Linked DNA regions of Saccharomyces cerevisiae S288C. The main gene of each other region encodes a partner of the protein of the gene in region 3 in a complex. Each region holds a gene or a part of one and is shown on either strand. Other genes may lie near its edges. A codon is read from its position in the direction of its gene.

What was found.
Region 1: the proteins of USE1 (region 3) and SEC20 are in contact, whole or in part, in a cryo-EM structure (PDB 8EKI), measured with the Saccharomyces cerevisiae proteins. Residues at the interface, in NP_011417.1 of Saccharomyces cerevisiae: Asn23 (codon at 3,171), Arg26 (codon at 3,162), Arg27 (codon at 3,159), Val30 (codon at 3,150), Thr31 (codon at 3,147), Gln33 (codon at 3,141), Leu34 (codon at 3,138), Gly35 (codon at 3,135), Ser37 (codon at 3,129), Asp39 (codon at 3,123), Phe46 (codon at 3,102), Gln50 (codon at 3,090), Gln54 (codon at 3,078), Phe58 (codon at 3,066), Gln62 (codon at 3,054), His65 (codon at 3,045), Asp66 (codon at 3,042), Lys69 (codon at 3,033), Ile70 (codon at 3,030); in NP_010786.3 of Saccharomyces cerevisiae: Asp14 (codon at 4,359), Leu17 (codon at 4,350), Asn18 (codon at 4,347), Leu20 (codon at 4,341), Gln21 (codon at 4,338), Cys104 (codon at 4,089), Leu107 (codon at 4,080), Ile109 (codon at 4,074), Val110 (codon at 4,071), Leu112 (codon at 4,065), Lys114 (codon at 4,059), Tyr121 (codon at 4,038), Val125 (codon at 4,026), Glu126 (codon at 4,023), Leu128 (codon at 4,017), Asp129 (codon at 4,014), Leu132 (codon at 4,005), Gln133 (codon at 4,002), Asp136 (codon at 3,993), Trp137 (codon at 3,990), Tyr139 (codon at 3,984), Cys140 (codon at 3,981), Tyr141 (codon at 3,978), Lys144 (codon at 3,969).
Region 2: USE1 (region 3) and SFT1 share a complex: the UniProt entries of both Saccharomyces cerevisiae proteins name them as parts of the SNARE complex.
Region 4: USE1 (region 3) and BET1 share a complex: the UniProt entries of both Saccharomyces cerevisiae proteins name them as parts of the SNARE complex.

The regions. Positions count from the first base shown.
Region 1 is NC_001136.10:1,442,597-1,451,019, forward strand, and holds SEC20 (Sec20p), read right to left. Parts: upstream 4,399-8,423; coding exon 3,247-4,398; downstream 1-3,246. Other genes in the region: PUF6 (Puf6p), read right to left, coding at 1-807; myo-inositol transporter ITR1, read right to left, coding at 1,117-2,871; LCD1 (Lcd1p), read left to right, coding at 5,234-7,477; 60S ribosomal protein eL37 RPL37B, read right to left, coding at 7,602-7,861, 8,251-8,257. UniProt on the Saccharomyces cerevisiae protein: SNARE required for targeting and fusion of Golgi-derived retrograde transport vesicles with the ER.
Region 2 is NC_001143.9:428,890-432,579, reverse strand, and holds SFT1 (Sft1p), read left to right. Parts: upstream 1-1,947; coding exon 1,948-1,983; intron 1,984-2,124; coding exon 2,125-2,382; downstream 2,383-3,690. Other genes in the region: 60S ribosomal protein eL14 RPL14A, read right to left, coding at 1-147, 546-674; CAP1 (Cap1p), read right to left, coding at 2,472-3,278. UniProt on the Saccharomyces cerevisiae protein: Vesicle SNARE required for retrograde transport within the Golgi complex.
Region 3 is NC_001139.9:312,319-320,578, reverse strand, and holds USE1 (SNAP receptor USE1), read right to left. Parts: upstream 3,238-8,260; coding exon 2,500-3,237; downstream 1-2,499. Other genes in the region: ribosome biogenesis GTPase LSG1, read right to left, coding at 4,026-5,948; SEH1 (Seh1p), read right to left, coding at 6,296-7,345; YGK1 (5'-deoxynucleotidase), read right to left, coding at 7,739-8,260. UniProt on the Saccharomyces cerevisiae protein: SNARE required for targeting and fusion of Golgi-derived retrograde transport vesicles with the ER.
Region 4 is NC_001141.2:345,350-353,424, forward strand, and holds BET1 (Bet1p), read right to left. Parts: upstream 3,157-8,075; coding exon 3,146-3,156; intron 3,015-3,145; coding exon 2,597-3,014; downstream 1-2,596. Other genes in the region: protein disulfide isomerase EPS1, read left to right, coding at 343-2,448; iron-sulfur cluster assembly protein CFD1, read left to right, coding at 3,773-4,654; CMI7 (Cmi7p), read left to right, coding at 4,952-5,161; phosphoinositide 5-phosphatase INP51, read right to left, coding at 5,242-8,075. UniProt on the Saccharomyces cerevisiae protein: SNARE required for targeting and fusion of ER-derived transport vesicles with the Golgi complex.

The DNA.
Region 1 (8,423 bases), on a different chromosome or scaffold from region 3:
AGAGCCCCAAAACTCTTTAATCATTTGTTGTCTTTGTTCATGTGTGGCATAAAGAACAAATAAATCTTCAACAACGTAGGCACCCTCACGATGTCTCATTAATTTTCTCAAAGAACCGTGTAATTCATTTATTATAGTTTGCCTTGAACTTCTTGAACCATAATGCAGTAACTTAACCAATAGATACTTACCGTACGCAGATGTGGCTAGAACATAAAATTTTCCCTTTAAAGCATCGACAATTTGTTCACGACGATCTTTGGACGAATACTTGACTAAAGTTTGAACAATACGGGAAGCATCATGCTTTAAGACAAGATCACTGATACAGTCCTTAGATAGCTCCCAGATTTCGTTGGAAAGTTTTTCACGAATCTGTTTTGGTAAAGGTGGGGTCTTCACACGCAATCTTTCCCAGACGGATTTAATTTGTTGCACTTGGGTACCAGATTTTCTTTGCATTTTCCTTTCTTTTAGCAGTTTTCTTTGTTCAGTGTGATTTCCATTTTCACCTCCTTCAGATTTGTCCTTTCCTTCTTTCTCTTCATTCTCATTTTCATGTTCCTCACTGTCATCGGAAATATCTAATTCGTCAGCTTCTTCTTCTGCTTCAGAGTCACTGGTACTTAAATCATCCAAATCATCATCATCTGATGAAGAGGATACAGCATCTTCCTTTTTGGATAGTTCTGATTCTTCATCAGACGAATCAATAGAAATTCTAGGTTTTTTGGCTAATTTCTTTTCTGAATGACTAACTTCTTTAGCAGAACGTTTTCCGTTTGTCTTCTTGGTTAAAGGTGCCATTGTCAGTTAATTTGTTATTCCTGATTGTGCTTTATTTCAGTACTCTATAATAAAACGCTTTCACCTTCGAAATACTTTAGGTAGGCATCTCATCTCATCCCAGCAAAAAAAATTTTCAGTATTTCTCTCAAGGTGAAAAAAAAAAAAGGTCTTCAATGCCGGGTTAGTTAATCTTCTATATATGCATACAACAATTAGTTCGACTTAAATACAATGAACTTTTTTCTATCTTGTAATTTATTTTTATTTATTTTCTACTATGTATTTGAATATTCAATTGCGTCTCCTTCCTTTTACCTCGTGAAAGGACTATATATCCTCTATAATCTCTTGAGTTGGTTCATATTTCAATTCATGAACTCTGGCAACTTGCTGTTTTCTCTTCTTGGCCAAAGCTTTCGAGGCTTTGATGTTGAACCCGTCCTTCAAAATAGTTTGTACCTCTTCTAACTCCAATCCCGATAATTCTGGATAACAGAAGTAGCAGAAAATGGTTGATAAGCACGACAATCCCGCGAAAAAGGCAAATGTACCTGCAGGAGTGATATTCTGTAACATGGTCAAAAATGTGGATGCAATAACCAGTGAACCAGCCCAGTTTGTAGCAGTTGCATATGAAGTCCCAATACCTCTCACGTTTTGGGGGAATAGTTCCGATTGTTGCCATGGAACAGTACCGATACCAAGAGCGTAGAACGCAGCAAATACGATAATAAATACGATGATCACAATACCCCAAGAGGAGAAACCGGAGGAAACCACCACAGCGACAGCGCCATCAAACTTAATACCTAGAAAATGGAAAGCAATAGAGCACACGACTAAAGCCATGGTCATGCCTGGTAATCCAATCAATAATATGGTTCTACGGCCTATTTTGTCAATGGAAAAAAAGGCAACTAAAGTGAAAATAAAATTGGTACCGGACACGATGATTGAAACAGCGGAAGAATTTTTGAAACCGACAGTTTCGAAGATGGTACCAGAGAAATACATCAACGAATTCCAACCGGTAAACTGTTGAATTGCTTGTAAACCACAACCAATGATCAAAGCCCTTAGATTAGATGGTACTGTGTGCAATTCTTTGATGGTATTCCAGACTTTTTCAGGGACATTCTTACCAGGAATAGATTGATTCAAAGTAACAAGTTCTTCCACCTTACGTTCAATGATTTCCTCCGAAGTGTCAGTGTAACTTCTCTTCAACACCTCAGTAGCCCTTGCCAAGTCGCCCTTCATAACGTAGTATCTTGGAGTGTCAGGTAAAAAGCACAGGCATGTGAATTGCACAGCAGTGGGAATTAGTGACAATCCAACAAGAATTCTCCAACCATTGTTGACGTAGTTTAACCCAGCACCGCAACCGTAAGCGACTAATTGACCACCAGTCAACCATAAGGAATTGATGACAGTTAGTCTCCCTCTGATCATTTTGGGAGCAATTTCACTGATGAAAAGTGGCGCGATCAAGGAGCCGATACCGACACCGAAACCCATGATCAGTCTACCAACAGCCATTTGCCAGAATGTGTGTGCGGAGACCTGTAAGATTGCGCCAATGACAAACATCAGATTCGAACCCATTAAACAACGTTTCCTACCAAATATGTCAGCTGCAGTACCGGCGAAAATACTGGTAATCAAAGCTCCCAGAGAGGTAGCCGCAGTGACAATTTCCTTCTCCCCATAAGTAAGTACCTTGTGGTCCAGATCTGTGCCGATCGAGATCAGCGCACTGGATATATAACCAGTGTCGTAACCAAACATGAAACCGGATATGGATGCGACAAAAGTCAGAGTGATGATGAAGGGCGAAAGAGATTGGTTAAAAGTGATCATGACCGACGTGTCATCCTCGTCGTTCACGGGTTTAATTTGAATCCTATCTTCATCATCGCTAGCGGGAGCCCTCTGTATTTCATGTGACTCAAGTGTAATTTTACCTCTCTTTGAAGGTGAGTCATGCTCACTGTTGAACTCTACACTATCAGCGTTGCCAACGGCATCACCAACATTTGATTGCGATGTCTTTGACGTGAGATATGGTATGTGTATTCCCATTTTAACACCCACTGCAGAAACAAAGAAAATGAAAGAGATGTATACAGTAGGACGACCAATAAATCTGAATAGCGCACCAAACTGAAAGAGAAGAATAGAGCAAACACCTGCCAAAGAAAAGCCCAAGTGTGAAAGGTCTTTTCTCAACTATGGCTTGATTCCTTTTATATTTTTTCCATTTTGCAACAGCGCGTTGAGCTTGGTCGAGCTTTTTTCACATGCGGTGGGGAAGGCGTATTTAGCGCAACCAGTGGGGGGTATAAGCTATACCTAACGCATGTGAAGAGAACAGAAACAATGGTGAGAGAAAATAAATGGAGAGGATGGAGAGAACTAAGTATATGCGCTTATTATGTTATATAGATGTTAAAATTATCATAGCTCATCATGTGAGACGATCCTGTCCACGGCCTCATCGACAGCCCGCTGGATACTACTGACGGCTGATACAGATGCGAATGGTTCCACAGAGGTTGCTGAGGATGTAGTTGTAGTGGCTAGAATGGGTGCATTTAGCACAAGACTGGGTGCTTGAAGAGAGGACGAGGAGCCTGCATAGCTTTTAACTAGACCTAGGGTGACGAGTATACCCTTGAAAAACTTGAATAGCAGCCAGAGGCCGAGTTTAACAGGTAACTTGAAAATACGACGCCATAGAACCCACGAGACGCAGCATAGGAGGAACCCAAGTGATAAATAGACATCTCGTTTCTCTTGATGGGAGGCATTTTCCAGTACTTTGACCAAATCGGCAGTTTTCTTGAAGACGGTTTCGAATTGAGTGTACTTGTCATCGATTTGTGTTAAGGAATTGGTTTGGGCTCTCAATTCATCCAAATTCAGGTCACTTTGTAAAATTCCGGACTGCAAAATTTGATTTCCTCTCACCAAGTTATTCGTCAGTTGTTTTGTTTTGCTCAAAAGCTTCTCTCTAGTGCTGGCTTTTTCCATCGATGTGGACGTTAAGCTTGACGATGACGACGTTCCTTGGTGAAGCTTGTCGTAATCCACAGCGTGAAATTTTATAGCGCGGTCTCTTTTCTCGTCGTTCCAAGCTAAGTCACGTTTGTGGTGTTGTCGTAGAATCTCTTTGACTTTCAGGCGGTAGCAATAGAACCAATCGACGAATTGCAACACGAAATCCAGTTCTTCGACCAACTGAGCATATATGTCCTCGTTCATTTGTTTATCAAGCTTCACAATATGCAACTTATCGCATTGATCGTATCTAGGGCTTTTTTCCCACTGTAATTTTAATTCGGGGTATTTGTAGGTCATTTCCACAATACTACATTTCAGTACCGATTCGAAATCTGAAACTTTGCTCTCTATAATATTCACCAAATCCTCAAATTCAATCTCTTCTTCTTCATCATTGTGTTCGTTGGCAATGGCTGCAAAACTGTCCTTATTATCATGCTTGCTTTCTCCGCTTTCTTTTCTGCGGGAGATTGCACTTAATTTTTGCAAATTATTTAATAATGCATCTTGCAAAACTTCCAGGTCCTGCAAAAATGTCACGACCATAATCTTTAATGGCTTTATAGTTTGTTATGCGCCTTGGCAGCGTGATCCGATCTTACTTGTTAACTGTATATCAGGTATTTCTGTTGGCATTTTTACAACTGCGAATGTATTTTTCATTATTTAGTAACAATTCTATTTACCCGGACAGCGTGTGCAGGTGATTTATTGATAAAGTCACTGGTAAAGACGTGCTTTCTTTAGTGTGGGATTAGATTTACCACTTGTTTTGAGATTAGGAAAATTCCAACGTTTGCTAAAGGTGCAAACGAAGCTGTTTTGTTGCTTTTCTTTTCTTTATGTAATTGTATTTACCATGATCCTCTTTGGTGCGGCGCTAACAATAGAAAAAAATACACACACATTAGATTGGAATTAGAGCTTAAGTGGTACAAACTAGGGCTAATAAAGAGGTAACGGTCGGTTCTCTACTAAGGTTCGTATTGTGTGGCACCGATGTTAAGCACTTTTAAGCGGAATAACTCGAGTGGAAATTTTATGTTTAGTTAGGTTTTACCTTGAATTTTTTTAAAAAAAAAAGAGTCAGACAGGCTCGCTCTTTCCTACTAAATATTAGGAGCAAAGCAGTAAAAAGTCTCTGAATAAGGATAGTAACCTGTAGTAACTCCAAAATTTATCTTACAAAGAGCTATTAGTATCTTGGTTCTTCTATTTTCTTCGATTATTGGTGATTTTTCCCGCCTCTAGCCAAATCCGAGCGTTCCATCGATTTTTTGGGGAAAACAGCACATGCAATAAAATAAAAAGCAAACAAATACGCGATAGTGCACGAAACGTCAACACAATCATCAAACTCTTTTGCATATTTCTATTATAGATGAGACGAGAAACGGTGGGTGAATTTTCTTCAGATGACGATGATGATATTCTTTTGGAATTAGGCACCAGGCCTCCAAGGTTTACTCAAATACCGCCATCATCAGCAGCATTACAAACACAAATTCCCACTACTTTGGAGGTTACAACGACCACATTAAACAATAAACAGAGTAAAAATGATAACCAACTGGTTAACCAACTGAATAAAGCTCAAGGTGAAGCAAGCATGCTTCGTGATAAAATAAACTTTTTGAACATTGAAAGGGAAAAGGAAAAGAATATTCAAGCCGTCAAAGTTAATGAATTGCAAGTCAAGCATCTTCAAGAGTTGGCTAAATTAAAACAAGAATTACAGAAACTGGAAGATGAGAAGAAGTTCTTACAGATGGAAGCGAGAGGAAAATCGAAAAGGGAAGTTATTACGAATGTAAAACCACCGTCAACAACATTATCAACAAACACAAACACTATAACGCCAGATTCGTCCTCAGTTGCAATCGAAGCAAAACCTCAATCACCACAATCAAAAAAACGTAAGATAAGTGATAATTTACTGAAAAAAAATATGGTTCCCCTAAACCCAAATAGGATTATTCCCGATGAAACGAGTTTATTTCTAGAGTCAATATTACTTCATCAAATAATAGGCGCTGACCTGAGCACAATAGAAATATTAAATAGATTGAAGCTTGACTACATCACAGAGTTTAAATTTAAGAATTTCGTCATTGCTAAAGGAGCCCCCATAGGGAAGTCCATAGTTTCTCTACTTTTGCGATGTAAAAAGACGTTGACCCTCGACAGGTTCATAGATACTTTGCTAGAGGATATAGCTGTTTTGATCAAGGAAATATCAGTTCATCCAAATGAATCGAAATTAGCTGTCCCATTTCTCGTTGCATTGATGTATCAGATTGTACAATTTCGTCCTAGTGCCACTCATAATTTAGCACTGAAGGATTGTTTTCTTTTTATTTGCGATTTAATAAGAATCTATCATCATGTATTGAAAGTACCGATACATGAATCAAATATGAATTTGCATGTAGAACCTCAGATTTTCCAATATGAACTGATAGACTATTTGATAATTTCGTATTCCTTTGATCTCCTAGAAGGTATATTAAGGGTACTGCAGTCGCATCCTAAGCAAACTTATATGGAATTTTTTGATGAAAATATTCTAAAATCATTTGAATTTGTCTACAAACTAGCACTAACCATTTCATACAAGCCAATGGTAAATGTAATATTTAGTGCAGTCGAGGTCGTTAATATTATCACTAGTATAATATTAAATATGGACAATTCCTCAGATCTGAAATCCTTGATAAGCGGTAGTTGGTGGAGAGATTGTATTACAAGATTATACGCTCTTTTGGAAAAGGAAATTAAGAGTGGCGACGTATATAATGAAAATGTGGATACTACAACTCTTCATATGTCGAAGTACCATGACTTTTTTGGGTTAATCCGAAATATAGGTGATAATGAATTGGGAGGATTGATATCAAAGCTGATTTATACTGACCGATTGCAAAGTGTCCCAAGGGTAATTTCTAAAGAGGATATTGGGATGGATAGCGACAAATTCACTGCCCCTATAATAGGTTACAAGATGGAAAAATGGCTTTTGAAGTTAAAAGATGAAGTTTTAAATATTTTTGAAAATTTATTAATGATCTATGGAGACGATGCGACCATAGTAAATGGAGAAATGCTCATCCACTCCTCTAAATTCTTATCCAGGGAGCAAGCGTTAATGATAGAAAGGTACGTGGGACAAGACTCCCCGAACTTGGACCTCAGATGCCATCTTATTGAACATACTTTAACCATAATATATAGGCTATGGAAAGACCATTTCAAACAATTGCGTGAAGAACAAATCAAGCAGGTAGAAAGCCAATTGATTATGTCACTATGGAGGTTTCTCGTATGCCAAACCGAAACTGTGACAGCAAACGAAAGAGAAATGAGAGATCATCGACACCTTGTAGATAGTTTGCATGATCTGACGATAAAGGATCAAGCCTCTTATTACGAAGATGCCTTTGAGGATTTACCAGAATATATCGAAGAAGAATTGAAGATGCAATTGAATAAAAGAACGGGGAGAATAATGCAAGTAAAGTACGATGAGAAATTTCAAGAAATGGCAAGAACTATTCTTGAGTCAAAATCATTCGATCTAACCACACTAGAGGAGGCCGATTCATTATATATCTCAATGGGACTGTAAGGCAACAATCAAAAGGGGAAAATGTCAACGCTTTATAGAAACCTTGTAATGCTTAATATTAACTATATATAATTTATATTATTTTCGTTTTAGGAAAGAACAAAACTTATAGATAATATCAAATTTAAGCAGAAGTAGCCTTAGCAGAACCGGTTTGGAAACCGTTCTTAAATCTTCTGGAGACATGCTTCAAATATCTCATTCTACCGGTACCAGTAGTGTGTCTTCTCTTTGCCTTGGCAGCCCAGTTGTGAGATCTAGTCTTAGCGGATGGGTAACCACAAGAGGAACAGGTCTTCTTTTGAACATGGAAAGAACGACGACCACATCTGTTACACAAGGTGTGAGATTTGTTGTGACGCTTACCGAATGAAGGAGTACCCTCTGTTTAAAATGAAAACATAAAAGTTAATTATCGTTAGTAAAACTTTGAACTAAATAAACTCTACTGCTGGATTCAGAACAACTTCATTGGCGGTCTAGATGTGTGTTGCTGTCTTACACTATTTCTTCTCACCTTTTTGTATTGACACTCAAATCTTTTTATTCGCTCTTTATGCATCCGTTATGTGCAATTTCTTATCATCAATGGCTCTGGCAACATTCATCATTCTATATTTTTAAATCTTTTGGCATAGTGAATAACGTAGGTCTTAGTTTACCTGGCCTCTCCTGGTGGAAAATTTTTTCAGTGCTTCTTTCTCATGTAATCCTCTAAATCAGACCGGATGTGATTGAACGTTGACTCATCAATTAATAATTCCTGTACATACTACCCATCTTTACTTATATATTCGTTTACCTCTTTGTTCTTTATCTACACATAGTAGTGCTTTTTGTTACCGCTTTCTATAGTAACCTATGCTTACTATTCCAGCCATGTTTCCAATCTCATCCTTCCCGCAAGTGGCAGGAAGATTCTCAGTGATAATATTAGTGGTGTACG
Region 2 (3,690 bases), on a different chromosome or scaffold from region 3:
TTCGCAGACAGCAGCAGCAGCCCACTTCTTAGAAACGGTAGCAGTTCTAGCACCTCTTGGTAGAGCAAAGGTCAATGGAGTTAAGACAACTTGACCCAAGTTGATGGCTTGACGTGGAACACCAGCTTTTGGACCGTCAATCAAAACCTATAATAATTATAACAAATAATTTAAAAAAATTATTCATAAAAGTTGTTAGTAAACGAAATTTTTTCAAAACGATGGAAGGCATGGTTTAATATTTGAGGAAACATGGTCAGGCTCTTTAAGAATTAACTGCGCAAATATGGGTCATCACCTTTCTGAAACTAGGTAAGCTGCTAGCAAAATAAATAAATAATCCACTATAGGCCACTCCAACAGGGAAATAAAGACTTTTTTGTATCTCTATCGCAATGTGTATTTTCACATTTACTTATCGTTTACAAGTAGCTTCATCCATGGTAACGGATTGGATATTTGCCAGCACTTTTTCGTAGCCTAAATCTCATTCCTCGTTCATTTCCCTCCTCAAATCGATGATAGGTTTTCCGGATTTAACATACCTTCTTTTGGTCAATAATTTCGACGATAGCGGCCAATTTACCTGCGGATTGACCCTTCTTGATCAAAACCACACGGCCAACTTCGACTAATCTCCAGTTAGAAGCCTTGACAATAGAATCGGTGGACATTGTTTATTTTATTTTTCACGACTCTCTTTGTTCACTAAGACAAACAATTAAATTTGTTATACAATCGGCAGACCTGATCAACTTAACCTTAGATTACTTTTTTTTCAGTTCAATAGTACTCGACGAGTACGAAGGGCAGTCCACTGAAAGCTCTACGCTCTCTCCGTTGCCAATTGGGCTGAGAATGGAAACACTGCGCGCTGAAGGGAAACCCGATTATGGAAAAATGCACGCAGCTGCAAGCAGCAATCTCTCGTAAACCGCTCTTTTCCGGGCGGAAAGTTAGGCCGACACCTGTTTGAAGCTTCATAAAATGCAAAATCGAAAAAAAATTGATAACGGACACTCAAAATTTGATATTTCACACATATTATGTATGTGATGTCAAGATGTAAAAATAGTGTATGGGTGTATTTGCGCTGTCAATTATTTTACTCAGAGTATAGTTACATTCTGGCAAGAATTTGCTGGTTTTGTCTTTTTTTACTTCACAACTAATGCTGGATTTTTTTATTTAAACCTAATTTCTTCAGTGAACTCCAATGTGTATTCATGTTTGATTTTAAAAGCTTCAATTTTAAAAGCTTCAATTTTAAATATCCGATGACTGTTAATCGCAGCTGCTAGTGAGATGACTGACAAAAGGTTCAGTAGAAACATAAAATATATAACAAATGTGTTGAGAATGATAGTATGATACAGTGGTATCATATTTCGTTCCTATTTGAGGTACCAGTAGTTCTTATCAAGAAGATTCAATGAGAAAGGTAACTGAATGATGATATAATTTGCGATCTAGGGCTAATCACTTGGAACACCGCCATGTTCTATATGGGTGATTAGCGAAGTGCGAAAAATTTTTTATCTGATATTTTCCTTGAACAATATTTCTAATAACACTTGCGTTGTTGCAACTGGCAGATTAACCATGTTGCTCAATATTCCTTCCTTGTATATGGGAGAACATCTTGAGGCAATGTTTAGAATTTAAAAATGTGTGCTCCCTTAAACTACGCTACTCAGAAAGGATCTTCGTGTGTACGGTAACTGACCAATGAATATTGTGCGGTAAGTATCTTATGTTTCTTGTTGCTGAATGTACGGTTCATGCAGTAAATTAGCTACTCTAGTTTTCTTGTTATTGCAAGAAGCCGCGCATTGCTACATGCAGAAAAAAAAAGAGGAAATAATATAAGGTATATCATTAAGAAGGATACTGGAAGAACTCAACAAGGAGAGAACGGTAGAAAGGTAATATATAATCATCATAGCGATGTCAAATTCTAGGTATTCTCAGACCGAATCAAACGTATGTAAATCACCGGCAACACGCATAGGTGTTTAGAATGGGACCTAGCTTGCTATATGGATGTTATAAGCTACTAACTATTGCTTCTGTACACCGGATGAGCAGATGTATCATCCCTTCATGTACATGTACTTTAAACAGAATGATAGGAAACTAGAGGGGTTAGCCAATAAATTAGCTACATTCAGAAACATAAACCAAGAGATTGGAGACCGAGCGGTCTCTGACAGTTCTGTCATAAACCAAATGACAGATTCATTGGGATCGATGTTTACCGATATCAAAAATTCGTCCTCAAGGTTAACCCGATCATTAAAGGCTGGTAATAGCATATGGAGAATGGTGGGTTTGGCGTTATTAATATTCTTCATTCTATATACCCTGTTTAAGTTATTTTAGTGAGCCAATCAAGCCAAAAATAAATAATGTACATAGATGTATTCAATTTAAGAAATAGGAAGAGAATGGAATAAGGCAGGCATGAAATTTCATTTGCCTTCTGCCGCATTCTTACCCAATCTATAACTGCCAATCGCACTACCCCAGTTAATTTTGGATCTCGTGACTGGTAATCTTCTTCTTAAGGCCTTAAACTGTTTTTCGTTCAAGTCGAAAAATGAAAGATCTAGATCATTTTCGAAATTCGTCTCAATATCCCTTATTGTGCAAACAACGTCATCAACGTTAGATTGATTGATATCCTTCCCAGATTGGAAACTAACGTTACCGTCTTCGTAATAGTGGACTTGCGTAGAGATTTGACCGGATAACTCCCTGGTCTCCAAATCGTAGATGTAGCTTGATCTCCAATGGCCGTTCCAGAAATTGTTTGGATTATATTTGGTGCTAACAATAATAATAGAAATTTTACTTATTTCCTCAGGGACTGGGTAAACAGCAAAACTGACATCACCTGGAAAGCTCTGAAGAAGATATTCGTGCAATTTATCGTGCAGTTCTTTCAATTGCCCTTTCTCTATCTTTGCATGCGTGAACTCATATGGTTCAATGTCAAGGCCCTTGCGCTCTAAATGGTTAACTGAAAATATTACGGAATTTACGGGATCAAAAAACTTTGCTCCTTCCTTGTTGTATTTGGAAATAATTACAGAGTTCCCGTTGACTTCTATAGGGATGCAATTCTGCACGTTGTAATTCTCAATAGCATCCAAAATAGTATTTTTGGAGTTTTCACTTGTGATCTTGATTAGATCGTCGTATACTTCCCTTAATTCTCCTGGAGGGCTGTCATTGATGATCTTGTTGATGACCTCTTCGAATTTACTACTAGACATTTTCTGTCGCTCTTATGATCCGTTGGATTAACGGTCTGAATAGTACCTTACAGTTGCTAACACCTTCCTATACTCAAATCCAGTACTAGCCACTGTAAAATCAGTATTCCAATAGGAAGAAAAAGGGGATCATAACCCGGCTATCGTATCACATGATAGTCACGTGCAGTGATTATCACGTGATCCGAACTGTTGTGAAAAAACGCGACGCGAAAAAAAAAATGCTGGGCTTCAACAGGAAAAAGACCAGGAATGAAAAATAGTTGGAAAGGAAACAACTGTCTTTTCCGGTCATTCCAACAAAGTTGCTAGATCCGCGGAACCATTTTCGTCATTTTTTTTTTTTCACTCTTTTTTCTCATATCGGTGGGCATTGTACCTGATCATGCTAGACAAATAACGTGGGAGGAGG
Region 3 (8,260 bases):
TGAATTTGAGTTAAGAGTCTATTAATTGAATGAGATCTGAAAGTCACATATAAGAGCAATATGAGTCGTCACATTAAATGTATGAAGCTGCCGGAATCACCATTATATTAGCCATATATAATAATGAAACAATCGGCATGTGGTTTATACCTCTGTTATATAAGTACAAAAAGATCCATATTCATTCTTCATTAATACAACCTGTTAACTTTTAACTATCAACATAAAGAGCTTAGCTGTCTTAGTTAGCTTCGCTTTTTATCATAACTACACCTCCTTTAGGTAAAAGAGAAGTACCTCTAACTTACACTATTTCTTTCGTGGAAAGAAGCTGCACTAAAACAGGTTTTAAAACAGACCGATTTATTTACCATAGGATACCTACATATTTTTGTCCCCTCTACATATCGTATCGCCGAGCATTCATAGAAGTTGAACTACATCCTTATTTCAATTATGTGCAGTACGAATGCATTCTTTTTGCCAGGAGACAAACCACAAATTTACATAACTGCAAATCGTACTGTTTTGTGGGCATTTGGGTTCACATCAAGCAAGACGTACTCTCTTATTAGAGGCATAGAACGAACGCTTTTACAATTCATTTTCAATTCCTCTTCTGTTTCTCGACCTCGTTCTATGACAACTCGCAACAAAAAAAATGATTTCTTCCTTCTCTTGGTCGGGTTTGGAAAGTTGTGCGAGAAGGCGAAATTTCGGAAAAAATGCCATCTCCTAGAATCGAACCAGGGTTTCATCGGCCACAACGATGTGTACTAACCACTATACTAAGATGGCTAATTTCTTTATGAACTTTGTTGTATCTCAAAATGAGATATGTCAGTATGACAATACGTCATCCTAAACGTTCATAAAACACATATGAAACAACCTTATAACAAAACGAACAACATGAGATAAAACCCGTCCTTCCCTAGCTGAACTACCAAAAGTATAAATGCCTGAACAATTAGTTTAGATCCGAGATTCCGCGCTTCCACCACTTAATATGATTCATATTTTATATAATATATAAGATAAGTAACATTCCGTGAATTAATCTGATAAACTGTTTTGACAACTGGTTACTTCCCTAAGACCGTTTATATTAGGATTGTCAAGACACTCCGGTATTACTCGAGCCCGTAATACAACAAACTTTGACCTTCAGTATTTTTGTGTTGTGTTGTTCTATTAACGCCTCTCTAACAATAGATATTTTGGAATGGGTGGTAATTGTTAGAATGAAACTTTAACATATCGTCTATTTGATATTATTCAGGTTGCTAGTTTATTATTACCTGAGGTATAAGAAAATGACACAAATATTGGTAAACGGTGATCAGGCTTGGTGGAAGCTGAAATGCAAAGATTGTCAGCGTAATATGAATGTGAAGGAGAAATATAGAAGGAAAGAAGAAAAAGTAATATTATTATGTAAAACTATCGTCTTCATTTTGAGGATTTCAAGGTCTGGGAGTTGACTTCCTGGTATATTCTTTATACATAATATTATAGCCTTCAATAGTTGTGAAATCCCAACAATTATTAAATTATTTAAACCTATCTCTGTTATATATGCGCAAATCATCATTAAAATATGTGACAGCTGCTGGAGCCATTATTGTACTGATTATAATTGAAGAAAAGAGAATAATAAACCAATTGGTGTTTGTTTTATACTTCTCTTATACAAGGATAACAGAATCCATATTTAGTCATCATTAATACTATCTTTTAACTTCCATTTATCAAGTTATTAATCCTTGCATTTCAGCTTCCAATTAATCTATTGGTTGTTTCTCAATGTTCATGTCATTTTCTTATACCATATATGATAATAAATTGATAATATGAATATGAGTAGATCGAAGATAGTCGACCCTTACACCGGCAATAAGCAAGGCTGTGTTACATTATTTGATGTGTTGTGTTTGTAGTAGTTTTCTTCAGCCGAATTTGAGAGCACAGATAATATCAATAACATTGTAATGGAATGCACTTGGCTACTATGGACCTTATACATGAGAAAAATTTAGTCCATTATGAGTATCATCATAATGCGTTCAATAATATGACTTAAAATCAAAATCAACTTACTAGTATAACGTAACCGAAGACCCCTCCTTATTTTACCCTCATCGAACACTGCTGTTCTATTAGCTTTCAGTCAGATCAGGAAATGTTATGATTTTGTCGTTTTGTTTAGCTACTTTTGTTTTCTCAAATGTTTATTCTTTTTCAAATATTATATGTATAAAAAGATTCACCGCACCAACACAGAAAGCAATCAGATAGCAGGATTCAGTTTGAGACGGGAAGTAGGCAACTATACGGAAAGGAGAATTCTGCAGCCTATACAAATTTTATTGTATACTTTTTTCTCACAATTTGCTTTTTTCAATAGGAATAATCTCAACTACATGAAAAAATGCCGTAAATATTAATAAACAGTTGAATTTTTCTTCCAAAAAACATCATTCCATCGTTATAATTACATTATAGGGCCGGGAATAATTGAATTATGATAAATGTAAACACCAGTCCGAGAATCATAAAAATGAAAACAGTAATATAAAACAAGTAACTCAATTTACTCTTGTCATATTTCCTTAATTTACCGCTAACATCCATTAAACCTTGAGAAGCAACTTGAATACCTATCTCTGCAGCTCCAAGAACTTGCTTATCTTCATCAAGTGCTGATTGAAATGCCACAGCTCCTTGCTTCAAACTGCCCACAAGTTTGCTCATATCCTGAATCAAATCCTGTTGCAACGTGTCCTGGTCCTCAATTTGCCTATCGACTGATTTCGTAGTTTCATATCCTAAACCCTTATTCTGTCCCTTCCCCAACAATCTCTTTCTCAACTCCATAACAGCTTCGCTATCTTCGTTTCTATCAATAAACTCCTCATTTGGGTATTCTGTTTGCGATTCCGTGTCAACTGCATCTACAGAATCTAAATCGATACTATATCTTCTTGTTTTTGAACTGCTTTGGTACTGTTCGTACTGTGACTCCATTATTTTGTGGGCGTCATGTTTTGTTTGCAGATATTCAAATGCTTCTCTTTGATAAGTATGTTGATACCTCAAAAACTCCTCTGAGACCTTATTGTCGTCACTTGATCCCAGTTGTTTTGTAACTGCTTTCCTTCGTAGACGATTCAAATTAGTTAATTGTTTGCTACTCAAAACGTAGGACAGAAAGGGGTCGTTGGAAGTTTCAGCCATCTTGCCTTGCTATTATGTGTCCTGTCAACCTTTTTTTATTCTCTGTGTATGTTGAAATTGTATTCTACTTTATAAATTTAGTGGTGATAAAGTGGTGAAGCTTTCCTCCGGCCATATTTTATATATACTGACCTACTTTAGGGAAGAAAAACGAACAAATCCAGACCGACATCTGTAACAGGTATCGGTCAGTATCACGCTCATATGACAAGATATAGGGAGCAACTACATGCAATCACTATACGTACGTAAATATACTCTCCTATAAAAAGTAAATATATGAGAAAAATTTCCGCCCATCTACTATCAAACTATAGACTGTGGGAATACTCAGTCATTGTTAGCGAAAAAAGGCGGGATAGAACTTATTTTAGGCATCTTGAGCTTATTTCTTAATGCGTGGGAAAAATTGTAATTTGTGAAGCTTAAGGATAATCAGACGGAAAAGCTAGCTTGGATCCAAGAAAAACTCCCGGTAACCAGGCCAGCAGCCCCTAAATGGTCATCCACTAACACAAATTACTTGAACATGTTGAAATGTGTTGAAGAGCCATGATATTTTTATTTTTTATTCGAAAGAAGAATTAAACTGAGGAAAGAAAGAGCAAATTAATAGAGGGCCGTTTTATAATATCTCTAGGACTCAAAAATTCTTCCAAGAAAATTTGTCCGGGTAACGAACATAGTTTTATTATCTTAGGTCTATTCTCAAATAACGCTGTCATTAATTGGCGAGATGAAAAGATAATAGTACACAGTTTTTTTGAGAAGATATATGTTAGTTACCGCTAATTATTTTCAATGCTAAAAACTTTGCTTTTCGCATTTTTACTTTTGTTTTTTTTGTTATGTCTCTTACCAGCTGAACTATTTTGAACTTTGTGGAATGGTGTACTTAATCTACCTTCGACGTTGTTCATCTTGAAGAAGTCTCTATCCAAGTCCTCAGCGGCATTGTACAATGCAGCTTGTTTACCACCGTGCGTAACAGATTTGGCTTCTTTTTGTGTGTCACCACCAGTGTGAGCTGAAAACGTTAGCTGATTCAAATCACGAGCTAAATCCACGATATCAATGCCTTTAGCCTTAGCAGCATTTTGCACTTGCTCCTTTCTGGTGTCCGGTAATCTGTCGAACACATATAAATCTTTGTTAAATTCTTCACACTCTTCTCTAGTGTAAGGTGTATCATCCTCTAGATGGGGCGGAGGGTTGACATACAGTAATTTCCCATTGACGTAATCTTTCAATATATAACGACTTGCTCTTGGTTCATCAGCAGAACCGTAACCTTGAGTCATATAACCACGAGCTCTGGCGTATGCGACTAACAATTCTTGAGCAGTTGGTATATCCCCATTCCCACCTTCATCCCTTGATTTGGTTTGAATATGGATACCATAAATCGCTTCAATGTAATACTTTGGTATTCTTTCTGCTACTAAACCTGCTGGACCAATATAATCACGTAATTGATCAATAGGTAAAACACCATTACACACGAGCTCACCCTTGTTATATGCAAAGTTTGGGAAGACAAGACCGGGACAGTCACAAAGCATGACAGAATCAGATAACTTAATAGTTTGGAAGTGTTTTGTTTTACCAGGCGTGGATGAAACAGAAACTTTCTTGGCACCCACGAGCGAATTAATAGTGGAGGATTTACCTACATTTGGATAACCAACCAAACCAATATTAATCAGTGGAGGTTGACCGGGCAGAGGTGGCAATAAAGGCTCGTTTGGAGCTTTTGATAAAAACAATTCTTCCAGTTGGTCAATGGACAGAATTTTAACTTTTTCCATAACTTTTTCATCAGCATCGAACCCTTCTTTATCAGCTTCCTCGAAATCTTGTTCTCTATAATCTTCCCCCATTTCCTTTTGTTTCTCCAATAATTGATTAGCTCTCAATGCAGAGTAAAACGTGAACGAAATATTCTTGGAGATAAAGTACTTTGCCCAAGCGATACGTTGCTTTTTGGTCAATAAATCTGCTTTATTAACTAGCAGTAAGTTTGCTTTTCTGTCATCTGACTCTTTTACATATCTTTCTAAATCGACAGATCTAAACAGCAACGGATTCCTCGCATCTACAATTTGAACAACTAAATCTGATCTTTCAACAACTCTCCATAACTGTTTCCAAACTTCGATATTTCTTTCAAACGGTGTTAACAACAAGTCTTCATTGCTTTCTTGTAAATGTGCCAATTTTCTTCTCCATTCTAAAAACGCTTCCTTTTCTTGCCTATCAAGCTGAAACTTGGACATGCCCTCGTTCCATTCAGGCCTCCTTGGAACAATCAAATCCTTAGCAAGCGCTCTTTGCTTCGCATTAAGATTTCCACGCTGCTCATTAGTCATAGAAAACCCTTGAGATGTCGCAGAATCATTACCGCTATCCATTCTAATAATTTTAACATTTGAATGTCTATCGGCCGTGAAATCTTTGTCTGCCAGTGCAGCTGTACTCAAGAATTCATCTAAAGCTGATTCTTGAGTTACAGATCTTAATTTAACCCAGTTGGCCTCATGCTTATCGGTAGTGAACCTCATTTCACCATCAGGTAAATACTCGATGGCATTTTCTTTTTGACGTGCATATTTAATAGCTCTGCCTAATTCAAGCTTATTTTTATTTTTACGGTGGGTAGGTTTTGGCCCTTTTGGCGCCTTCCATTTCTTGGGAGCTTCTTTTGGTGGCATAGTTGGTGGGGGTCCTCAATATCAGATTTAGTTTTGTGTTTAAAAGAAGTTGGCTTATAAGCTCATCACCTCTTTATTAAGTAGTAGAATGCATTTTCATTGACAAATTTTTTAATCTCGGCATTGAAAAATTTCCAGGCGAAAAGGCGAGGGAAGGGAAGCTTGATATAATTCGAAAGAATACCCAATATCAAGAATAATAATATCATTTGATGTAATATCATTATATTTGTAAGAGCTTTTTAAAAGCATCATCTTTCTTGATTCATCTGTTGCCTCGTATTATACAGAATAATGCACACGTATAAAGTACCAATATATAATGTTATGTATACATATATTCTTATTTATTGTTGGGCAGTAATTACTGACATACACTTAAATTCATTTGAATAAGTGGCTTTCCATAAACGTACCTTCCCATCATCCCCAGCACTGCTTAAGATTGTACCCGTTAAATTCCAAGACACGGACCAAACTTCGCCATTATGGTCATCATGCTCGCTTAGAAGTTCAACTTGCAAGTTTGATTGTAGCTCAGCTTTCTCTTCGGTATTTGAGTCTGATCTGCCCTGTGCATCCATGTCAACATCAGCACTATTATCAAACATATTTGAGTTAGTTAAAGACTCCTCTGAGGCCAGGGGACTTAGTTTTTCTGTGATTTTGAAAATTCTAATTCTACCATCTTTGCAACCTGTTGCAATGAGTTGATACCATCTACCAATGGAAGGAGCCCAGCTGATACTTCTTATTAAACTTTTATGACCGGGAAGTTTTGCTGCAACGTGAAGTTTACCGTCTTTACCCCTTTGGTATATAATCGCTTGTTCCAATGCAGAGACTGCGAGCTTTTCAGGAGAAAATCTCGAAGGACACCAAGAGAGACAAAAATCAGACTGTAAATGATTTGCTGGTGGTATAGATAGCACTTTCATCTCAGAAGTCAGTGTCCATGACCTTAGGTCAGAAGGTTCTAAGGCATCATAAAGTCTGAGGATTCCATCGTTACCCAAACAAGCTAATTTTAAGCCCAAATGCGCTGGCGCAAATTTTACACTATAAAGTGATCCTTTGGAATCATTCAGGGTACACAGCTTGTTCCAACGACGGCCAGAGCATTCTTCTTGGTCGGGATCTTCTTCCCATAATTTTACCGTCTTATCGTAAGAGGCTGAAGCAATGATGCGCCCATATTCTGGACTGGCCCAATCAATGGCCACGATACTACTGTCGTGAGCTCTCCATGAGTCACTGAGTTCCCAATTACTCGTGTCCTTGTCTAATTTAAAAACTTTAATATGTTGATCAGAAGAGCATGTTGCCACATGTCTTCCGTAAAAGTCATAAACGACATCATGAACTAAATCATCATGCCCACTATCAAATGGTTGCATATTCAGAAATATTATTGGGTCGTTCTTCTTCTTCCTTAGTATCTCTTCAGAAGGGAAACCTTGTTTATAATTTGGTTTACTTGTCTCTATTCAGTTCATGATTTTTTCCATCGTTTTGCCGAAGACTTAACTAACAATAAATAAGAGAAACAGATATATTAAAACTTGGTTGATAATGCAGCACGCACATTCAATCGCGAATAATATACAAAAGATTATTTCTAAAGTTACATATAATGCACACCGGGTGCTGGAAGTATAATACATGCAAAATAAAATGGGCACTATCTCGTTGAAAAGCATCAAGATGTTATTATAAATGATACGCACCACCAGGTGAAGGTTTGAGAAAAGAAAAAAAAGCACTAACTTTTCTTTCAAAAGGCCACATTATTACTCCTTCAAACTGTCGAAAAAGGCTTGTCGATCTTCCAGTAAAGATTGTGTCCATTTTTTAACTTCATCAGTTTTTATATCATTGATGGCTCCCAAAAATTGTTTCAAATCCTTCTTGCCATTATACTTTTGTTCGTACTCAAAACATTGAACCAACATTTCATACTTATCAATATCTTTGACATATCTTCCTTCCAAACAGGTCTGCTTTTCGTATGCTAACCAGTCATCAAGAATTTCCCTAGATGCGCTTTCACTGCAGGGCCTTATTATGCTTTCACAGAGATACTTGACAGTTTCAAATTCTCTGCGATGTTTCTCTTCCTTTGTCATTGGGTCATTAGGTGTAATATCACCAACTAATGACTCCGCAAAATCGTGAACAAGTGCGATTCTGATACATTTGTTACGATCAACATTCTTGTCCGTAATCAGCATGGTAGTTAAACCCATTCTGTACATATGGTCAGATATACTTTCGCATGGGTCAATACCATGGTCAACCCAACCAGTTCTTCT
Region 4 (8,075 bases), on a different chromosome or scaffold from region 3:
ATATACACCCACATGATTCTATAGACAAAATATACTTATACATTTTCATAGTCTTGACAATATTCTACATTGGCCGTTTTCTTGGCACTATTTTAGCTTATCCTTACCAAAATAGTCTCTTTTTTAAATACTATTTTTGAAGCGGAAATAGGTGCGAACAAATGAATGGCTTCAATTTAGTGCGATAAAGACGTAAAGCATAAACCAGTGAAGATCATAGCACTAAGAAGGCGCCTGTACTGTTCCTCGTGTTGATACTCATTTCCTTATTTATTTTCCTCAAGAAATTCTATCCAGGAAAGAAAAATACTATCTATAAAAACTAGCTGTAAGGCAGCAGCCATGAAAATGAATCTGAAAAGGCTCGTAGTTACCTTCTTCTCATGCATCACCTTTCTGCTGAAATTCACTATAGCCGCCGCTGAACCACCAGAGGGCTTTCCAGAGCCCTTAAATCCAACAAACTTCAAAGAAGAGCTATCTAAGGGGCTGCATATTATTGACTTCTATAGTCCATACTGTCCGCACTGCAAACATTTAGCACCTGTTTGGATGGAAACATGGGAGGAGTTTAAAGAGGAGAGCAAAACACTGAACATAACATTTTCACAGGTTAACTGCATCGAGAGCGCCGATTTGTGTGGAGATGAAAATATTGAATACTTCCCTGAAATTAGACTTTATAACCCCTCAGGATACATCAAATCGTTCACTGAAACACCGAGGACCAAAGAATCATTAATTGCATTTGCACGCAGGGAGTCTATGGACCCAAATAACCTCGATACTGATCTGGATTCTGCTAAAAGTGAGAGCCAGTATCTCGAAGGCTTTGATTTTCTCGAGCTGATCGCTGGTAAGGCGACTAGGCCACATTTGGTTTCCTTCTGGCCAACAAAAGATATGAAAAATAGCGATGATTCACTAGAATTCAAAAACTGTGACAAATGCCATGAATTCCAAAGGACTTGGAAGATCATTTCAAGACAGTTAGCCGTGGATGATATCAACACGGGCCACGTTAATTGCGAATCTAATCCAACAATCTGTGAAGAACTGGGCTTTGGCGACTTGGTGAAAATAACCAACCACAGAGCCGATAGAGAACCCAAGGTAGCATTAGTCCTACCCAATAAAACCTCAAATAATTTGTTCGACTATCCCAATGGCTACTCAGCGAAGTCAGATGGCTATGTAGATTTTGCCAGGAGGACTTTTACAAACAGTAAATTTCCCAATATAACAGAAGGGGAGCTCGAAAAAAAAGCAAACAGAGACATTGATTTTCTGCAAGAAAGGGGACGAGTAACTAATAATGATATCCATTTAGTTTTTTCATATGACCCCGAAACTGTTGTTATTGAAGATTTTGACATTTTGGAGTATTTAATCGAGCCTTTGTCAAAAATTCCAAACATATATTTGCACCAAATTGACAAGAATCTAATAAATTTGTCACGTAATCTTTTTGGAAGAATGTATGAAAAGATCAACTACGACGCCAGCCAAACTCAAAAGGTTTTTAACAAAGAATACTTTACTATGAATACGGTTACGCAACTCCCAACTTTTTTCATGTTTAAAGATGGTGATCCCATATCCTATGTTTTCCCCGGATACTCCACAACAGAAATGAGAAATATTGATGCCATTATGGATTGGGTAAAAAAGTATTCTAATCCCTTAGTTACCGAAGTTGACTCTTCTAATTTGAAAAAATTAATTTCCTTCCAAACCAAGAGCTACAGTGATTTAGCAATTCAGTTAATAAGTAGCACTGACCACAAACATATCAAAGGAAGCAACAAGCTTATTAAAAACTTGCTCCTCGCAAGTTGGGAGTATGAACATATTCGGATGGAAAATAACTTCGAAGAAATTAATGAGAGAAGGGCAAGGAAAGCAGACGGGATCAAGAAAATAAAGGAAAAAAAGGCTCCGGCTAACAAAATTGTTGATAAAATGCGTGAAGAGATTCCCCATATGGATCAAAAAAAATTGTTATTAGGATATTTAGATATTTCAAAGGAGAAGAATTTTTTTAGAAAATATGGTATTACTGGAGAATATAAAATTGGTGATGTGATTATCATTGATAAATCAAATAATTACTACTACAATAAAGATAATTTTGGCAACTCCTTGACTTCTAACAACCCTCAATTGCTGAGAGAAGCATTCGTGTCCTTAAATATTCCATCAAAAGCTCTATACAGCTCTAAGTTGAAGGGGAGATTGATAAATTCTCCATTCCATAATGTCCTCAGTTTCCTAGACATAATCCACGGGAACGGCATGCCCGGTTACTTAATTGTTATTGTTTTGTTTATCGCAATACTCAAAGGTCCATCTATTTACAGAAGATACAAAGTAAGGAAACACTATAGGGCGAAAAGGAACGCTGTCGGTATCCTAGGAAATATGGAGAAAAAAAAAAATCAAGATTAAACGCTTAAGTAGTTATAAAAATAAAAGAATGCTGATATCTTATGATGCTATCATAACTATCCTTTATTTCACGTATCAATATCTACAATCATCTAACAAACGTCGCTCTTATTTTGTCACTTAGGTTTAATGTACAATATGCAAATATTTATGTAATCCATACCCAAAAAAATAGCACGCCTACCATAAAAAATATTATTAACCATGTTTTTATACTGATCCCAGATCTTCTGGCCATCTCCATCATGTTTCCAAAAGTCCTTTTGAGTTTTACAGAAGTGTTATGGAAAGTATCACCAAGCTGGTCAATAGTTTGATTGCTGCCTCTAATCTCATCACCCATCTTCAACGATAATGACTTGAGTGCTTTTATTCTCTGACCCATAGCTCCCATCTGTTCCTCACTTTGAGATTCAAGAGATGCCAAAGTACTTTGGGAGTAGTCTAATTTATCTGTGCTCCCTAGCGCTGATGATACATTGTCATCGAGACTATTTGATCCATCAGCCGGTCCGAATAACTGTGTTCTACCAGTATCACGTTGATAAGCGTTTCCCCCTGCAAATCTATATACACACGCTATAGTTAGTAAACGAAGTTCACTCGTGGTCAATAACTCCCAATATCGAGGTGTTATGGTAGATGTTTAACAAAAAGCGCTACTCTAACTTTAGAATAGTCTAATAATTTCTCATACCTTGAACTCATCTGTGTAGCCTAGTGTTGTGAGGCTCTTCAATCACATTTTCTAACACATTCACAGTCTCAAGTGAACTACTGTTTGTTTTCTACCATTCCTTGGCAAAAGGCGCGAGTTGAAAAAACTCCATTTTTAACAACTACTGGATACTTTCGCAATTTAAAATTAATGGAAGAAAGAGCCGTGAACGTTCCTACGTAGCTTGCAACAACGGTAGAGTAGTATCCGCCAATTAGCATGCATAAATTTCATCTGAGATAGTGCAACATTATAAAAAATCACTAATACTTTCCCTGATATGTCGCCCCTTCAAATTTTTTGCACGCCACATCGATAAGAGTGAAACATATCCCTGAACAGTAACCTAGAATGTACAGAAATAACTGGAAATACAATTACAAAGCGATAATTACGGGATCTTTGGTTCCTATCACAGAGTAAACACCATGGGTTTATTAGATATTATTTGGAAGAATCACATTAGACGGCTCATCGCGCAAGTAATAGCAAAATGGAAAGAAATCGGAAGGCTTCATTAGTCATGAACGTTTTACACCATCAAAATGAAAACTATACACATGCGTCGAGGAGCACCCAAAACTAATACGACTATTACAATTAAGCATGGAGGAACAGGAGATAGGCGTTCCTGCGGCCTCTTTGGCAGGAATAAAACATATCATATTGATCCTTTCCGGAAAAGGTGGTGTCGGTAAAAGTTCGGTAACGACACAGACTGCGCTGACTCTTTGCAGTATGGGCTTCAAAGTTGGAGTTTTAGATATTGATTTAACAGGGCCATCCTTACCGAGGATGTTTGGCCTAGAGAACGAATCTATATATCAAGGTCCTGAAGGTTGGCAACCTGTGAAAGTGGAGACAAACTCTACTGGCTCTCTTAGTGTAATATCATTGGGGTTTCTACTAGGTGATAGAGGGAACAGCGTGATATGGAGGGGTCCTAAGAAGACTTCTATGATAAAACAATTCATCTCTGACGTCGCCTGGGGTGAACTGGATTACTTACTGATCGATACCCCTCCGGGAACGTCGGATGAACATATATCGATTGCAGAGGAGCTGAGATATTCCAAACCAGATGGTGGTATTGTAGTAACTACCCCACAGAGTGTTGCAACAGCTGATGTCAAAAAAGAAATCAATTTCTGCAAGAAGGTCGATTTAAAGATCCTCGGTATAATTGAAAACATGTCAGGGTTTGTATGCCCGCATTGTGCTGAGTGTACAAATATCTTTTCCAGTGGGGGTGGTAAAAGATTATCGGAGCAATTTTCTGTCCCATACCTTGGTAACGTTCCTATAGATCCAAAATTTGTAGAAATGATTGAGAATCAAGTTTCAAGTAAAAAAACGCTTGTAGAAATGTACAGAGAATCATCTCTTTGTCCCATTTTTGAAGAAATAATGAAGAAACTGAGGAAACAAGACACTACAACCCCTGTTGTGGATAAACACGAGCAACCCCAGATAGAATCTCCAAAATAAGATCCTCTCCTATGCATGTACGTATATATATATATATGTGTGTGTGTGTGTTTATATACACTTATATTTTGATCCTTGGGCCTAGAAATAAATTTCGATTCCTATTTCGATTCCTATATCGAAAGGTGGTTAGAAGCTAACCGGCAACTGCAGCATGTTCTTCAAGTGGTGATACAAATTTAAAAGGCCGGGTAAATATTGACAAAGAAATAATATTTAATCACACAATTTTGAGAAAGAGCAACTGAATCAATTACTCTAGAGAAATCGCAGAACACTTCACTCGTCGTCAATAATATGACTCGTGATACACCCGAAGATGTCAGTACTGCAGGCGCAAAGGATATTTTAGATGTTTTGAACCTACTAAAAGGAGGAGAAGAGAAAATCTCGGAAGTCGAACTTAAGTTGGATGAAATGGAAAAGAAAATGGACTCTCTGTTAGTTCAGTTAGAAGATCTACACAGGGACAACAATGATTTGGCAAAAAGTTCCAGCCAAAAATAGAGAGTACGCTCACAGCCGCATAGGGAAGGAACGCTAAATAAATATATTTATATATAATCTTTTCACTAATGATCATTTACTTACCTTTCTATAAAAAGTGGCTCATCTTCGTTCTCAACGAATGGATTGGGATCTCTTTTAGGATTAATCATGTAAACGGCCGGGTCTACGTCAAGAACTACTTTAACTTGCTTCCCACTTCCAATCCACCATTTTTTTAAATCCGAACTAGGTGGTGGTAACTTTCTACCTCTTTTGGGCTCGGGAATTGGTGTCGGAGAATGCGTAGGGCCAGCTATCGAATCACTGCCCTCAAAACTTTCGATAACAAATGCATCATCACTCAAAACTGCAATTTTCTCATCATCATCCAATCCCTCTAGCCTTTCCATAATCTTCTCGTAGATTTGCGTACCCAAAGTAGTCTTTTTTTGTTCATCCACTACAGTCACTCTAGCCCTAAATATGGCATATACGGGCCGATGATCGGAAAATAGTATATCTTCACAGCATTTATATTCTAACTGTTCTAGTACTTCTCCCCTACTTAAAATCCTATCAGTCCATGCTGGTATTCTCATTTTTTCGCTCGTGTCGTAGTTTTTAGTTCCTGGGTCGAATTTATAGGTAGGTGGGAAATCAATCGCCATTTCATGGAAATATGGAAAAGACTCACCTGCGATCATTTGTTGATTAAGTTGATCCTTTTCAAATAGGCTGGCATATTCTTTAGAAACAATTTTTCGTCTAACATCTTCGTTTGACATCAATATTCTGTAATTGAAATCGCCCATCCAAATAATTGCATCGTGATCCTTTATTCGTAATCCTTTAGAAAATCGTATGCTTTTCGCAATCGTCTTATAATCATTATGCCTTTGTTCAACATTTTCTAAGCCTGCCGCTAAATGAGATACTAGTACGCAAAATCTTGTAGCTGAGTATTTAAAACTAACCGCGACAGCTCCTTTATTAGAAGCCATTCCTCCAAACCCGGTTTTTTTAACATCCCCCTCAATATGCTTTACCTTGGAATATTCCGTTTCATTCATGAATAATAATAGTAAAATACCACCCAACTGTGTACTCCATAAACGGATATATTTTTTTTTGCGTCCGGGCCCATTTAATAGTGTTAATATCTTCTTCTCCCAAAATTGTCGGACATATGGATCGGTAGCAAGCATATGACCTGGGGTAAGTTCTACCACTTCTTCTAATCCGATAACATAAAGATCAGCCATTTCATCCTCCTTGGACATTGATTTTGGAAATATCCAATCTTTTATATCATCTTTTGGAATTTTACCACTTATATTAAATGTACCTGCAAAAATTGAGATGTCTTTCTCAAACGTATATTTTGACCTTAATTGCTTTAAATACTGAGAGATGTAGATATGGAGCGGGTCGTATAATCTAACTCGGGAACCAAATAACTTCGAATAAACCTTTGTATATTTACCAGAATTCTTCGTGTGCTTAGTATACGTTCGATCAAGCCAGTAATAGTTTTCTGACCATAGCTTATCATGTGCGTCCAAGAATGGGGAAGTCAATTCAAATACATCAATTTCATTTGTGGTTAATTCAAGTACCTCCTTGCTCACTAACCTTTCAACTGTGTTAGGTTTTTCAATTGAATCAAATGCGCTTATTCTTAATACCCCCGTTTGTTTTGCAAAGTAGATGCCCCTAGAGATATCATAGGCAAACGCTCCAAACTCGTAAATATCCTGTTTTAATAAATAAAGTAATTTGTGGGGAGACTTTGTCAGAACGCTTGAGCTGTATTCTATATTTGTTATTTTTATTCCCTTTGATTCAGCACAATCCTTGTACGTCAGTGCTAACTTTTCTTGTGATTCGCTTTTAGGTTTTATGATATTAACGATACTCACAACACCATACTTTGAGGTTAAATTATCAAAATGCCTGTCAAAAGCTCCCTGAGCTTCAATAGAATCTTTTGTTACCTTAATTTTTTTTCCATACAACAGTTGACTTTCTACAGATTCCCAAAAAAGAGGAATGCTTCCGTTCACTTGAGTATAAGAAAAAATAAACTTTTCTGTGGTTACTACAATTTCTGTCTCAACAAATAGCGACACTCTCCCATCTTCACTAATACCCTCCAATTCTAGCGTATCCTGCTTGCTCTCAGTCGAAATTCTGGAAATAATGGTTATAGAGGCTGTATTTGGGCCGTCTTCTATTAATGCTGTCTTGCAATAACCCCGAATTACAAATGTTAAGAACCCTGCGTTGGCAAAAAGTTGTTTCTCCTCATTTGAAATCTTGCTTCTCCAGTTGATTACCTCACTTGCTAAGTTAGCATTCCAAATAAATGATAAATCTTGATTATCTACGGTATATTCTAAGTTATGTGATAAACCATGGTTTTTCACGATATTAGAGATGTCGAAATCTCTAGAATAGTAGAATGTTCCATCACTAAACAGTTTTTTCAGGGGGCCGCAAGGATGCTCATGAATCAATTTATCATAGTTTTGCTCTGATCTCTCGCAGAGGAGGTAGTCGAAAACATCATTTTCTAAGCTGTAAAAGTCAACATCCAATACTTTATAAATGCTCTCCGAAGGCCTAACTTGATGATCTATCAGTTTCCATCGAGGAAACCCAACATTCTGAACACCAGATATGACGGCAACATATATATCACCATTAAGACAAACGAGCCCTAATAATCCATTAAATATGCAACTTTTGACTTCGAGATAGTTACTATCACTTGAAAGATCTGTGTCAGGGTAGGACTTGATTGTTACGCTAGGAGTTTTACTTAATTGACGCTGCTGAGAACTGGCACCTGGTATGCTGCGCAAACGCTGGAAGGATAAACAGTAGTTGTTGGAAGATATTACAATCGACCGTGATCTTCTACCGATGAAGA